Linked DNA regions of Lytechinus pictus. The protein of the gene in region 1 purifies or fractionates together with the protein of each later gene. This does not show direct contact. Links are inferred from orthologs where the notes say so. Each region holds a gene or a part of one and is shown in the gene's direction. Other genes may lie near its edges. The genes, in order: F-box/LRR-repeat protein 12-like and serine/threonine/tyrosine-interacting protein B-like.

What was found.
Region 2: the proteins of F-box/LRR-repeat protein 12-like (region 1) and serine/threonine/tyrosine-interacting protein B-like purify together in Homo sapiens (affinity purification with mass spectrometry; 4 studies listed by BioGRID and IntAct, with this or other methods). This does not show direct contact. The link is inferred for Lytechinus pictus from reciprocal best matches to the Homo sapiens genes FBXL12 and STYX.

What each region holds. Positions count from the first base shown.
Region 1 is NC_087255.1:1,788,550-1,796,399, reverse strand, and holds the start of F-box/LRR-repeat protein 12-like, read left to right. Parts: upstream 1-4,596; 5' UTR 4,597-4,652; coding exon 4,653-4,778; intron 4,779-5,503; coding exon 5,504-5,661; intron 5,662-7,126; coding exon 7,127-7,850. UniProt on the Homo sapiens protein: Substrate-recognition component of the SCF (SKP1-CUL1-F-box protein)-type E3 ubiquitin ligase complex.
Region 2 is NC_087251.1:3,756,388-3,764,772, forward strand, and holds the start of serine/threonine/tyrosine-interacting protein B-like, read left to right. Parts: upstream 1-4,815; 5' UTR 4,816-4,847; intron 4,848-5,201; 5' UTR 5,202-5,228; coding exon 5,229-5,234; intron 5,235-5,486; coding exon 5,487-5,540; intron 5,541-5,959; coding exon 5,960-6,057; intron 6,058-6,299; coding exon 6,300-6,360; intron 6,361-8,385. UniProt on the Homo sapiens protein: Catalytically inactive phosphatase. Acts as a nuclear anchor for MAPK1/MAPK3 (ERK1/ERK2). Modulates cell-fate decisions and cell migration by spatiotemporal regulation of MAPK1/MAPK3 (ERK1/ERK2).

The sequences.
Region 1 (7,850 bases):
TTTTATTCATATAAACAGACACTTTGGTGGTCATTATATCAGATTCTGTAAAAAGTCATTTTTAGATCGTTACCAAAACTGGAATTTATCTTTAAAATCAAATATACATAATGATCAAATTACAACGGTGACAATGTAGTTGGCGGTGGAAGCCAACAATTTTAGGGGGCACCACATTTTTTTGAAAAGCAAAAAAAAATGACAAGCAAAAAAAATTGAAGCAAAAAAAAAAAGGTTATCAACAAAAAATTTAGGGGGTTCGTAACCCCACCTAAAATTTAGGGGGGATACTCCCCCCGCCCCCACTTCCGCCGCCTATGGTTATAAGAAGATATAGACATAATTCATGTAAACAATAACAAATGAATTCAAATGCAGAGACCAGCTACCGTAAGCTGAATGCTTGAAAAAATAGCAGCCATATGTATGGCTAAAATCAATTCAATAATGGTTTGTTAAAAACATGCCTCGCAGCCAAAGGCTGAATAATTATTTTGTACAACAATTTACAACAATTTACAACAATTTACAACAATTTACAACAATAGAATAATACTCAAATACAAACATGAAATGATATCAAATTACTAGTACTTCTTAATATAATACAAGGAAATAAATTATTTGCAAAGAATAGGCTTCATCATTTCAAGCGTCAATACAAACCACATAAAATAGGCTATCAAATTATCCTTTTACTCACAAGGTGTATCAATTGTTTTCAATTATGCATATTAAAAAAAATGTGCGACTCCACGTGCATAATCTCTCTCGAAAAAAAAAAAGATGATAAAGAAACTAATTTAAATATAGAGACAATAGGTAGAAAAGTAAAGAAAAAAAGAATAAAAAAGAAAACGAAAGGGAAAAGAAAAGAAAAGACAAGAAACGAAGAAAAAAGAGCAAAAGTCAAAAAGAAAAGAATGAAACAGTAAAGAAAGGAAAAGAAAATCAACTACGAAACGAAAAGTAGATGAACAAAATATGAAAATAATAAAAACAAAACGGAAAAGGGGATAAAAAATAAAGAAAGTGAAAAGAAATCACGAGGGAGAACTAAGAAATAATATTAGAACACGAGAAAAGAATGAAGAAAAAAATTACATGAAAAGAAGCTAATCGAATAAAAACAAAAGGCCGTTAAAATAGTGATTTATTCACTGGCTGCCACGCAGCCAAACCATCGAAAAAGAAATTACGCCACTAAGTTAGACTTATGAATATTCATATTACCCTTTCTCGCATGCCTCATACGATAGCCTTTTGTCAAAGACTTCTAGTATATTTCTATAGGATTCTCAGTGAATAAACAGGGTGAAATTAATAGGAAGAGCGTATTATAAACGTATTATAATCGATTATTATTTTATTTTTTGTTTTTATAAGGATTAGGCTATTATTTTTCTTTTGTTTTTGTTTTCTGCTAGCACGAAGATAAAAATCAATTTATCTCGTTGCCTCGTCAAAAGGCTATATCGATCCTCCATTGCTTCCTGTACAAACGACTTTTAATGCACACCGGCAAAATTTTCCGACGTTTTTGCTTCGTTTTGGGGAATTATTTCGAAGTTTTGAGGGCCGCCCATATTGCGCCTTAAGTTGTAAGTATGTATTGATTCCTTTGTAACAGTTTTGTGCAATTTTATGTATTTTTGATTGATTCCCGATGCTCATCTGGTTTGATCTGGTGAGCCGGGGTGAATCACAACGCAGCCCGAACACAGTACGTGTTCGGGCTGCCGCAGTAAAGGAAATACTATTTTTCTGCATGATAAATCGAGTGCGTAGCTTTAGGACCCCTTCTAGTTCTACATCGTGCAGCGAAATTAAGAGGTGTTCGGAAAACACGGCGGGATTTTCGTATTTGTGAGTATTGTGATATTTTCTTCTTGATTTATGATCTTTAGAATGTTTGCCACAAATCAGTGAAAGATCATTTGTTTGAATATTAAAATTGGCACAGTTTTTATCGTTTGTAAACAAAGTGCGTAGCTTTAGGTCCCCCCATCATACTAGTATAGTTTCTTCAGATACATCCCCCCTCTCTCATACATCCTCAGCTTCTATATTTACTCTACCCTTTTAGGCCATATTCTCCTTTTTCATTTTCATGTCTTAATTATTTCTATTAGTATTAATGGGGTTTTTTCCCCTCGCCCCTAGGCCTAGCGGATTTACAATACTAGTTACACCATATATATATATATTTTTTTTTTGCTTTATAATATATACTTAAATGTCTTTTGCACAATATCAGTTGTTCCCCATTCTTTCCCCTTTATTCCCCACTCTTATGCACCAGGGGCGGTATTCTGAAAACGTTCTTATCTTAATTTTGTTCTTATCTACGTCACGTTCTCAAATTGGTATTCTGAAAACGTTCTTATCTTTTTCTTATCTTTTGTTCTTATCTTTTTCTTATCTTGCTTTCCATCCTATGCTGAGCACGTAAATTTGTTACACGCGCATAATACAAAAGCGCGCTAAAAAGATAAGAACAAAATAAAGATAAGTGGTATTCTGAAAACGTTCTTATCTTTTACGATATTTATGATAATATTTAAGATAGCTAGAGGGTTATCACATCTCACGATGTTCGCGTTCTTTCTTGCTAAAAAAAGGTGGCCACTGGTAATAACATGTGTTCTTTCCATCCTTTCTTTTATCCACCCTTTATTTTGTTTTTCACCTTTTTTTCTATCCTTTTGTCTTTCTTTATCTATTTTCAATTTTTCTTCCTTTATATCTGTCTATCTTTCATTCTTCATTTATATCTTTTGCTTTATTCTTTTGAATTTTTTAATCTCTTCCTTATTCTTATTTTACTTTGTTTAATTTATTCTTCATCTTTCTTCCTTTTTTATTTTCCTTTTTCGTTCTATTTCTTTCTTTCTTTGAATTAGCCTTTCTTTCGATTTCTTTCTTTAGTCTTTATTTTTGCTTTAATTTCTCTTTCAATTCATTTTCCTTTTTTCTCTTTTCCTTCACCTTTTACATTTTTTTGTTCCTTCTTTTTCTCTTTCTTTTTTTTCTTTCACTCGTTTTTTCTGTTTTTTCAGTTTTTTATTCCTTCATTTTATCCTTTTAATCTTTTTTTGGTCCTTTTTCGTTTTTTCCTTTAAGTTTCTTTCTTTCCTTTTCTTCATTTAAGTTCTTTTTGCTTGCTTTCTTTCGTTTACTCTTTCATTATTTTCTGCTTTCAATTGTTCCTTTCATTTTTTTTAAAATTTCTGCTTCGTTCTGACCCTTTTCTGTCTCCTTTCTTTCCTACTTTCTTTCTTCCTGTTTTATTCTTTATTCGTACCTGCTTTATTTACTTTTTTTCTTTACTTCCTTTCTTTCTTCCTTCCTTCCTTCCTTCCTTCCTCCCTCCCTCGCTCCCTTTCTTTCTTTCTTTCTTTCGTTATTGTGCACGTGTCTCGAAATAATAATCAGTCATTGCGTATAAAATGCCTATTTCGCGCAATGCGCCAGAAACAGTGTTCGCGCAGTGCCCATGATATTCTCTTGACATAAGGAACGCTTCTATTGGTTAAACTGACAATATAAAGCGCATTTTGATTGGTAATATCCTAAAAATGGGCGTGTTGAAGATAAGAAGGAGGCAGTCCTTACAGAGATAAGAACGCGTTAAGAAGATTTTCAGAATACCGATTTGCAATGATTTTAGCGTCTTCTTATATCTCAATGAGATAAGATAAAAGATAAGAACAAAGATAAGAACATTTTCAGAATACCACCCCAGTTTATTTTGCCTTTCTTTGTAACCTGTTTGACCCACCTCTCACTAATTCTCTTGTTATTCATCTATTCCTCATACCCCCTATCACTGTTTTGTTCCAGATCCTGTTTGATGTTGCCTGCCCAATTATCTTAATCCATCATAGCTTATTAAGGTCTTTTACTGGCCTTACACTAACTTCCCTTCGTGTCTGCCTACTCCTTTGCTTTCATCCCCTTCTCTAACCTGATTGGTCATCACAACTCTCTAATTAATGCCCTTTTTGTCTCCTTGTTTCTAGTGTTGCTGTTGCATTTCTATGGTCTATATTATGGTTGTTCCACTTTATATGTTTGTCATTTTGCCTCCGACGAAGATTCTGCTAGGATCAAAAGCTTAGGCCCCTTTTGACTCTAATTTACTCCAAATGTTGGCTCTCTTATTAGAAAAGCAGTTTTCAGCATCTTTTTTTCTGCCATTTAAAAAAAGTTGTTAGAATTAGTTTAAATAATAATATAATAATAAATAATATAGGAGTTGTATAGCGCACGTATCCACCTTGCTAGGTGCTCAAGGCGCTCCTATATTATCCCGCCTAAGCTAGTCTACCGATTCTGGTACGCACAGCTTTTTTGAGGAATTACTTCCTGCCGACGCGCCCACATATTTATATTTTGATTTGTGATGTCATTTCCAAGCAGCTTTCCCATATGTCATGTGGTTATTTAAAAAAAATCAATGAAATGTCATTTTCTAAAAAAACTTGGAAGTGGCTTTTATTGTACCTTCAGTATCAAAAGATTGATACTGGATATTCCTCAAACCTTCACTGTATATTTTTTCTAGTATTTTTTAAACTAACTTTTTGTCAGTGTATACAGTTTCCCCTTTTACAAATAAACATTCTGTGGATTTCATTGCAGATTTCAAAATGCCTCGGTCCAAAGATAAAGAGGATGCGTTAATGAATAAGGCTCTAAGAACCACCAAGACACCTTGCAATTCAGCAGCAAATTCTCTTGATGTGAATGCCGTCTTGGATCTGGGTGATGTGTGTGTGAGTATGGATGAATCATTATCAAATATAAATTAATTTAAGTTAAAAATACTAAGGCCTACATGCATTTGGGACAAGGATACTGGACAGCTGCTCAAACACGACATTACAATTCATCAAAACTCTAATACTTTGTAACTCTGAAAATTCATAACTTTTGTTATATTTTGATGGATTTGTGTCAAAATTGAACTCTAATATTGAAATGAACTTTATATCAGAGCAAAATGGTTTCATCTTCAAAGTACCCCTATTCCGTTTAATTTTGAAACAAAATATATTTTGCATTTTGTAGCTACCATTTATGGAGTTCGACTCCATAAGCTGGTATATCAGTGGCTGTAATCTGATCAGATTTGGGGATCAGAGATGGGTCTTGAAGACCATGTTTCATTCTCACAATAATATAATATAAAGATCCAATAGATAAATAAAAATTATACTTGATCCATGTATTATGAGAGTGTTGATCTGATTGTACAAGTACTGCATGTTAGTTTAGAAGTTAAGTGTGCAGTACTAACTTTCTGGCAATAACAGAAACATAGATTTTGATCAAGTGCATACTAGTGCAGCTCAAGAGCCTATCTAGTTTTGTATGAAAAACTTAAAAGCGCATAAAGAGCAGAGCTGAATAAACATGAATGAAATTATAAACTTATTTTCTCCACTATAATAGTAAAATTATTTGATAGTTATTATTGATGACTACTTTTTGTTGTCAGGTTGATTCTGATGTGTTAACACCCCAGAAGGTTGCTGATCACCTATCAAGTGCAATTGATAGTGAGATGGGGGAATGTCCAGTAAGATCCATGCCTGATAGTGTTATGCTACAGATACTCGGATATCTATCTGTAAAGGATCTCTGCAGAGCTGCCTGGTAAGACATCTTATCGGCTATTCCACGGTTACTCACGTTACATTTGGAGACACCTTGACTCATACTTGAGAGCTGTAACTCCATTATTATTGATAGGAACTAAACATCTCTTTATCACAACAGAGTACGCAGTCTGACTATCCTTTGTATAAAAACAAAACTTGGGAAATTTCATTATGCTCCTGGCAAATCTTTGAAATGTGTCGGTTACTCATGTTACATGAATTGGACATGCATAAAATGAAAAGTGGACATAAGTGAAAAGTGTCCTCATGCAAGGCTTTATGAAAGTTGATTATATCCATTTCAAAGAAGTATATTAGGGAGACAAATTTGTATATAATTAAAAAATAAAGAACACGTGGTTTTTACTAGGGGTGCAGATAAAGTGGTTACTCATGTTACGGTTCAGATAGGCTATATGTACAAAGACACATTGAGCTCGTGTCCACCAACCTATGGAATTGCCCTTATCATGATTGTTAAACTGACATCGTTTTCAAAAAGTATTCTAAGGGGGGTGTTGCAAGAAAATATTTGCAATCAATCACAAATATTCTGTTGCAATTTTACAATCGATTAATCACTTTTAACTATATCAAATCAGATTACACTCCTTGTTTTGAGCAGATTAGCAATCAATTGCAAATTTACAATTAATTGCACGGCATATGCTTGATTTTGGGAACAAAAATAGACTTGCAACTGATTGCAAGTTTCTTGCAACGCCCCATAAGACACACAGATTGACTAAACCTATGAACCAAATATCTGTTTAAAAAAGTGTTAGAACAAGAATATATTTATGTTCATAAATATTCACACTTGAACATGGTAAGCACCTTAGAATCCAAAACAGCAACAACAGAAATCTTATAAAATGTTTGTATTAAACAGTCATACTTCTCTGGTATCACAAATTAGTTTTTTTTTAAAAGTCACATAAAAAAGTTAAACTTTGATCATGTTTACCTCAACATTTGTTTGTGTTTACTGAAACCCTCTTGGATGGTTTGTGAAAACTAAAGATATATCAGTGAAATGCCTGTACAGAAAACAAGAAAGAATAAAATGAAAAGGGGTAGTCTGACAATGTCATCTACTCACCATTTCTTTCGTAATTTTAAAAATAATTTGAATTCACTTGTTAATGTAATTTGAAATAAAGTTCGATTCTTCCCTGAGCCTGTGGAAGTGCCATTACTGTACATGTGCATTCGATGAAGAGCTTCCTCATTTACAAATTCATATAACAAATTTACAGAGAAATAATGTGTGTGTGCGACATCATCGACCATATGTATCAAATTCGTATACCATAAGTGTGAGTTACATGCTTATTGATATTTTCTGAAAGTAAGTTACTCAAATTCACTTTTCCATTTAATTGTTTTCTTTGTATTCAAATTTTGTTGAGGTAGACTTGACCTTTTCATGAGAACTTTTGTTTGTTGTATTCATGCAGTGTTTGTAGAGGGTGGAACCATCTGGTAAGACAAAAACCACTGTGGAGAGTAGTGGATCTTTCACCTTACAAGATCAGTCTGGTCAACATTCGTAAGCTAGTCTTTGCTTACTTCAGTGATTCCCTACGTAGCCTCAGTCTCGGTGGCTTCCTCTCATCAGTCAAGAATACAGAGTGTATCTCAGACTCTTTGCTTCAAGAACTTGGAAACCGCTGCCCAAAGTTGCAAGAACTCTGCATCAGAGGGGCTGATTTATTGAAGGCAAGCTCAACCAACCTGCCACCAAAGTTGCAGACTCTGAAGTTGATATCATGCAACTATCCCACGTTTTGGCTTACTGCGGCATTTAAACAGTCTAAACTTGATTCGCTACAGCATCTGGACATGACTTGCTCTAATGGTTTTGGTAATCGAGACTTAGAATCCATTACACCTGCTCCTATGACATCTGTTCTTGTTCTGAAGTTAAGGAACTGCTATCGCATCACACCACGAGGGACAAGTCGCATCACAGACAACTTTCCCAACCTGAAGGAGTTAGACCTAAGCAAGTTGCCTCAGAACAATGAGACCCTCCAGAAGATTGGTCGTAACCTGACACAGTTAAGAATCCTTAGACTTCATCAGTGCACCAATAGTGAGAATGTCCTCTTTGATTTACACCATCTATCACCACTGAAGCAGCTGGAAGAACTTGATGTAAGCACCATGCCTGATAACAGC
Region 2 (8,385 bases), on another chromosome or scaffold:
GACCATTAGAAATTTGTCACCAAGTTGAAAGTTGTTCCTTGTGATGTCACCGATGACATAAAAGTGAAAAATCAGACTTAGCCAATTTGTCGAAGTAGCCGGTAAATCATGACATATGCTGCCTGACTATTACCATGGACCTATTACGAATGGACATTCAACGAGAGCATTTTATGACCACCACCTGTTTCCAGCTGTCAAAACTGCTGTCTAACCCTTAACTTTCTCTTTACGCGGTTTTTACGACGACCGCCCGGGGCGATTGTTTACACAAGCTCCTTTCGGCCGATGATCGTCACCGATCGACAGCTGGCCCTCTTTCGACCAAAGACGGTCATGTTGTAGCCCCGATTGCCAATAGGGAAAGTCCCTACATTACCAAGAATGCAATGCGCAATTCATATCCGGTTTTTCAGTACATTATGTTAGGCTGTCTGTAATGTGGGATTGTCGTCTGTCCATCAAAAAAAATCCCGTTAAATTTCATCAATCCTGTGGAATTTTATGCCCAAATGAAAATCAACTTCTGACCGAAGGTAAGTGCTACTATCGACATCAATACTGTCCGAAAAAGATGAAATTTTAACGTTTTTCCGCAGATTTTTTCGTCAAATTTCAACTGCTTTTTTGCCGTAGATATACGGATCTGCAAGGTGATGTCAATGCATTTCATTTCCGGTTGTTAGCGATGTACGTAAAAAATATGTTTATGCACGCCTGTTTTCTTGTTTCTGCTATCATTTTCATAGCGCTTACGTTCGCTGCTGTGCGTTGCTTTTGATAAAGTGAACGAACAACATCGCAATGGGTAGGAGCAGCGTACAATTGATTTCCGCTGTCCATCAGTGAGAGCGTGTTTTACGACCGGCTTGATGGGTGTCAGCTGCCAGCGCTCTGTTTATAAAAGGATTAGCGGCGACGGTCTTTGGGTCAAAGGAGGGGATTCGTTGAATGTCCATTCGTAATAGGTCCATGCTATTACGAATCCATCACAATCATTACAAATGAGATAAGTTCATTAAAGAAAAGATTATGGAAAGTCCATACGAAGAGGCGCATTTTAAATCGTTGGGTAGGCCCGTTTCGGCCCCTATGTCATGTTAAAGCAATAATGTAGTCTCTACTCCTTAACTTTGAAATGTTTAACATATATATTTTTTATATTCTTAAACCTTATATTCTAATATAAACTTCCATAAATAATAAGTGATCAACTTTAAATATGAAAAACGTTTATGATCGTTGTCATTTTTGTCTCACCTGCATAGCAGAGTGAGACTATAGGCGCCGCTTTTCCGACGGCGGCGGCGACGGCGACGGCGGCGGCGACGGCGGCGGCGGCGTCAACACCAAATCTTAACCTGAGGTTAAGTTTTTGAAATGACAGCATAACTTAGAAAGTATATGGACCTAGTTCATGAAACTTGGCCATAAGGTTAATCAAGTATTACTGAACATCCTGCCTGAGTTTCATGTCACATGACCAAGGTCAAAGGTCATTTAGGGTCAATGAACTTAGACCATGTTGGGGGAATCAACATCAAAATCTTAACCTAAGGTTAAGTTTTTGAAATGTCATCATAAATTAGAAAATATATGGACCTAGTTCATGAAACTTATACATAAGGTTAATCAAGTATCACTGAACATCCTGCATCAGTTTCACGACACATGACCAAGGTCTAAGGTCATTTAGGGTCAATGAACTTTGGCCGAATTGGGGGTATCTGTTGAATTACCATCATAACTTTGAAAGTTTATGGATCTGATTCATGAAACTTGTACATAATAGTAATCAAGTATTACTGAACATCCTGTGCAAGTTTCAGGTCACATGATCAAGGTCAAAGGTCATTTAGGGTCAATGAACTTTGGCCAAATTGGGGTATTTGTTGAATTACAGCCATAAATTTGAAAGTGTGTTGGTCTAGTTCATAAAACTTGGACATAAGAGTAATCAAGTATCACTGAACATCCTGTGCGAGTTTCAGGTCACATGATCAAGGTCAAAGGTCATGTAAGGTCAAAGAACTTTGGCCACGTTGGGGGTATTTGTTGAATTGCCATCATATCTCTATAAGTGTATTGGTCTAATTCATAAAACGTGGAAATACGAGTAACCAAGTATCACTGAACATCTTGTGCGAGTTATAGTAGTTTTCAAAATCAGCACTGCTGCTATATTGAATCGCGTGATGCAGGTGAGACGGCCAGAGGCATTCCACTTGTTAGCACTATTTCTGTAAATAGTATTTTTTCCATTGCGGATTAATTGATTTACACCCTTTAATTATTATTGCAAAGCACTACTTTATCCACTTGGACATGTTTGCAGCAATTTTCATATTTTCCTTGTCTTCGGTAACTCATCATGTAACTGAGGTTTGTTTATACTCTAAACACTCACATTTGTATTTCTTGCATTATACCTGACAAATAAAATAAATGAATTAGATTTTTCACGCGCAGCCTCTCATATTTTCCTTTTTAGTCTCATACAATCAGACACTGTTGATTTTGTTTACTCCATTCAAACTCTATTTTTACCTCAACAAATAACATATTAACACATAATTTGCAAAATTGTCATTACATATAATATTTCTATAAAAATACAGAATATTGAACTAATAAAATGTCGAAATTACTTAATTAAATCAATTTTTATGACGGACAAGGGTCTCTTTCGTTGAAATATCAATGAAAGGTGTCTCTAAATGGACACCGTGTTCTAAATTTCGATTTTATCCAGTTATGCTTGTGAATCTTGAATTTTTTTTCTCTTTTTACCTCATAAAGTACGCTCCATACATCAATTCTACAATCAGTAATAAATAAAATTAAAACATTATTTGATCCCCTTTTATTGAAATATATTATTTTATGAAAAGTCGTCATTCCGAAATAAAAGGTTCAGCCTTCAGGTGACGATGAAGACTAAATATTTTTCCGATACTATCAATATCAAACGATGTCGCAGACTTGAAAGACAAAATTGCCTTCGTGAAACGGAAAGCGTTGATTTGTCGCCAATCTTCATGATCTTCCTATCTCGGAAGAATGGTCCTAGGACGTTCCTACGTATCGCTCATCTCGTCATGCAACAGGCCCCTCGACTCTGCGTATGATTATACGCAGTTGTTGTGTGTCCGGACAGGTTGTGTGTCCGGACGATCAATTTTAGAAAGTCATTTGGAAAAAATTACAAGCAAAGTTTCATCAATTTTTAGTACAAAATGTTAGAAAATATTATAGAGAACAAAATAGAAGATGATTACAACTATTGAATTCATATTTTTAGTGTAATCTTAAGACAAAAAAGAAGGCTTCAACAATATAAAGTGTCCGGACACCCGACCCCCCATCCTACTATGAAGTCTTGGCGGAGGTGACCAAGGAGTACGGTAGCACTCACACGTATTGCGAGGTTCACTATATTAGTATTCGTCACCAAGGAGCTGACGAATGGGACTTATTTAATGCCAAACGGACAATCAACTCGACCTACGAGACACGGCACACTCGTACTCATTTCCTTTATAGTCCCACATGTAGACTTCCATGGTGTTGCCATGAAAATCTACATATGGGACTACAATATTTACCGAGTTTAAATTCAAATTAGAGTCAGGAAAGAGGTGAATATTCTTCATTTTTGTGATAGTTTTCAACTAAATCAAAATAATTTCAAGTAATTATGGAAAATAGATGGCCATTTCGGTGCCAGCTATACATCTTAAAAGATAGTGAAAGTATGGAGATAAGCACCTACATACATGTATGTACAAAAAAATAAGGTTGAAAAAACAATGTTAGTAATTCAAAAAGTTAGCTAGAATTTCTCTTTTTTATTTCTCAAACAAAATCAGAGCCTAAATTATTTCCTGACATATGTTTAAAAATATTTATTCACTCACTGCAATATTACAATGTATTTTCCATAAAATGATTTGATTTGATTGCATCTGATTGACTCTATACACACGTACTGGCAGCTATTTGCATACTCATTAATATTCATCAGTCACATGACCATGGTTTTGAAGATTTTGTTCACAAAATTCAACATTTTTGCACTGAACCAACTTTTTTAAAAATGAATCTAACAAAACACAACTTCCAAAGATTACTCTTACAGATCAAACTGTGACATGATGAATTTTCAGATCTAAAGGTAAAAAAAAAGTGAAATTCAAGTCACTTTTTCACACTTTGTAACTGTTTTTTACAGGGACATATGTAAGTACAAAAGACACGTCAGCAAGGGGGTTTGAGGAGCATAATTTTGCACAAGTTTTGCACTATTTTTGCTTCTGGAATGCTGTAAAAATGGTTTATACATTTTCTGATCGCGTATTCAACAACCCACAAAATGTCGGGACCCCTGCAATTTGCGAGAAATTCTGTACGCGAATATAACAGCTTATACAGTATCTATCTATTGTGTACAAAAGTGGAATGATGATTTGGGAAAAATTTTCATCCCAGTCATCCTCTTCCAAGCCCCCTCGTAGAAGCCCCAAACATGTAGTTTAACCTTTATTCTCCTTTAATTATGCTTACCATACGTACTCTAAACTACATAGAGTGCATTCCTCAAACATGTCAAAAAAGGAAGTAACCACGCGCAGTTAATATTCTTAAGTTCAGCATACACAAATAATTTACGGTATTTCATTTACATATATTCATAAAGTTAGCTTTCCTCCTTGATTTTGATACCAAAGATGATGTGAGTTGTTCACTCATAGATGAGCAAGAAGAGTTTGAAAATTCAAATCAGAATTAAGTTGCGCAGAAAAATGGATCAAGATTTGTTAAGGATACGATGACCTTGCATAAGAGAGGTATGGTTCATTAGCATACATTCCTATTAATTTCTTTCACTTATCTTAAGTGAGAGTAGATGCAGATTTAGATTTGTGTTTTTCATTTCATTCTTAATATTAATGTTAATTTTATGATTGAAACATATTCAATGATTTTGATATCTAGCTAAAGATGAACAACCTTTTTGTGGGGTGAAATGTACAATTTGTATTCTATACTACATTTGGTCTACATCATCATGGCCCATAGCAAAAGAAAAATAATGGAAATTTTGATATCTGCATTCTTTTATGTGTTATGTATCATTAACAAGTCTGTATTGTACGAAAAGGTCTCTATATTCTCTAAAGTTATCTTTATTATTATTTCAGGACTGGGTGTACACAAGGAGAAGGGAGATGCAGGTAACTGATCTTAAGAATTTGATTTTAATTTAATAATTAAATTTGTATTTTATGTGTTCAATATTCATTTTGGGGAATATCAGTTTTCAGACCAAAAAGACACCAACAGAATGGTGGGAAAATCTTACATGACTCAACCCCATTTCAGGCTGTGTTTGTTTGTATATTTATCATCATTTTATATTGATAAATTGCAATGTATAAGGAATAATATCTGTAGATGACAATGGACCCTTTTTTCTGATTTTGAAGGAAATACTCCCTGGGTTGTATTTAGGACCATATGCTGCAGCTCAAAGAAGCAAGGTAAGAATATATGCTTTAGGTCTTACTTAATGCTGCACTCTATTTTTTAATCATATAAAGTCCATACTTAACCCCAAAAAAATAATTACTCTCTGTTCATGAGAAGATTAAAGATATTTATTGGTATAAAACCATCTTAATAATTCATTAGATAAATTCTATGGTACTCAAGAGAGTAGACAAAATTGATTAAATAATCATTTACATCACTTGAAGACTACTTTAACATTTTGGGATTAGAGGTTCTTAAACTGTTCATGATTAAATGGTGCTTTGCATAATATATTCACTGTTAATGCACTTGAATTAAGAAAATATTTGAATTGGCTTACTTTGAATTGCAACATTTTTTTTTCAATAATTGATTTTTTAATAATTGATCTCTTCTTATGACAGATTTCTTATTTTCCTTCCCCTAGTTACCTGTTCTGTTAGAGCATGGTATTACCCATGTCCTTTGTATAAGACAGGCACCGGAGGCAACCATCATTAAACCAAACTTTCCTGACAGATTTCAGTAAGTAAACACACAACTTTAAGGTTTGATTCTTTGTATCATGGAGTGATTTGTATTATAATAGAAATAATATGAGACATTACAGCTATGTTGAAAACTATTATGTAAACTGTCTATTTGATAATCATATTGTGTGTTATAAAACTTTATAGGAAGGTGAAAATACTGACTTTGTGTGATTGCAGTTTACAATTTGCTTACATCGTTCTGCTTGTTATACAAAGTTTTTCTTATATTTACAGGTACTTAGTCCTCGATGTAGCAGACAATGCATTGGAAAATATCATCAGACATATACCTACAGTAAGATATATCCTCACTCTACAGTGCATATAAAAAAAAAACGGGACAGTTTTGAAAAGTCTATCAAAATTTTGTTTCAAATTATGATGTCTATATTTTGTTGTTTATAGATGATCTGAAATCTTATCTTTCAAATGCCATTGAAAAATATCAGTTTCGTTCATGCTTGAGCGAACATGGAACACTTTTTTGAGGGGTTAAAAAAAAGGCTTGCACCAAACAGTAGAAAATGAGAAAATACTGATCATCAGACTTCTTGCTAATCAGCAAACTTCCTTTCAATCTTTTCATTATCTCTGCCATAATTTTCGAATTATGGTGTCAAAATCCATTTACAAATCTATTCATTTACTTAAATTATTTTGTTGGTGTTTTTTAAATATGATATCTTTTAGCATTGAATTTTTTCATGAGTAAAAGCAAAAAATTGTCAACCCAAGTAAGGGGATAATGGGATAGCTTGTAATTTTATCATATCCTTTTATTGTGGGCTGCAAAGGTTTTGGTACCTTTGAAAGACATGAATCCTTCTGTTAGAATTAATATTGTCCTGTCAAGCACACAATTTGACTTGTTCAAGGAATCAATGTCCCCTTGGCAATAGGATTCATGTCTTTCAAATGCACCATAACCTTTGTTGCACATAATAAAAGGATATGAATAAATTACAAGCTCTTCAATTAATAATGGATATCTCCTTGCTTAGGTTAACAATTTTTTTTCTTTAGCTAATATGAAAGAATATTCAATGCTAAAAGATAACATATTTAAATGAAACAAGGTGGTTTGCGAATCATAAGTCTCGCCTGATTTCGCGATAATTAAAATATGCAATATAATCTTTTGACCCCTAGACGACCTTTGACCCCATCATCCTCATAAATACACATGTAGTATTACCCAAGGATCATTATGTACCAAGTATGAACATGATTGATGCAGAAATAAAGAAATCAGAGCAAGTTGAACAAAAAAAACTTCAAAAAAGGATGGACATGACCACATATCATTTGACGTTTTGACCCCTAGACGACCTTCGACCTCATGTCCTCATGGACAGATATGTAAAATTATCCAATGATAATATTTACCAACTATGAACATAATTGATGTAGAAATAAAGAATTGAGAGCAAATTGAATAAAAACTAGCAAGAAGTCTGATGATCAATATTTTCTGGCATTTGGCGCAAGCCTTTTTTTTTAACCCCTCACAAAAACGTCTTGTGTTCGCTCAAGCATGAACGAAACTATTTTAAAAAAAAGCATTAGAAAGATAAGACATCAGAGCATCTATTAACATCAAAATATAGACATCATAATTTGAAACTAAATTTTGATAGACTTTTCTAAACTGTCCCGTATTTTTTTTATGCACTGTATATACACTATAATACAAAGTCAATTTGTAATCAAATATTACACCTTTGACTTGTAACAATAATAATATAATGTAGGTTTATACTCAAAGTAAAATGTGTCATTTTCTGTAAGGAGTTGTACAATATATATAGATACTTGCATAATATCTTGAGTCATTTTATTTCTTCAGATGATCATGCAGACTGCCTAATACCTCTTTCATAGGGAGCTCTTCCCTGTTGAACTAAAGTGGGCAAGGTAGTGAAACAGTGGTAAAAGGTTCAGTTTGAAAGGAATATCTTCCTCACTAACTTCTTCAGTTCAAAAGGTGGAAAAGGAATAGGTGGTAATGTTACCCATCTAAATTTATCAGTATCAATGAGATGCTACAAGTTTAGCAGCCTAGTGATGTCATATCCACTCTGGTTGACTTCAGAAAATGAAAAAATGCCCACCCCGCCCTTCTATATTTCCAGCAGAGCTCCATTGAACACCCTGCATTCAGATCATGAGTGAAGAGAAAGCAGTATGAAATGATACACTATTTTCTTCACTGGTGAAATGAAGAATACAAGCTTGTAAAGTTGAGTGGTGAACTTTAATAACGGGTGATGAAGGAGAGCTTAATCTGAAATGGGTATATCAATATTAGTCATGCTAATAT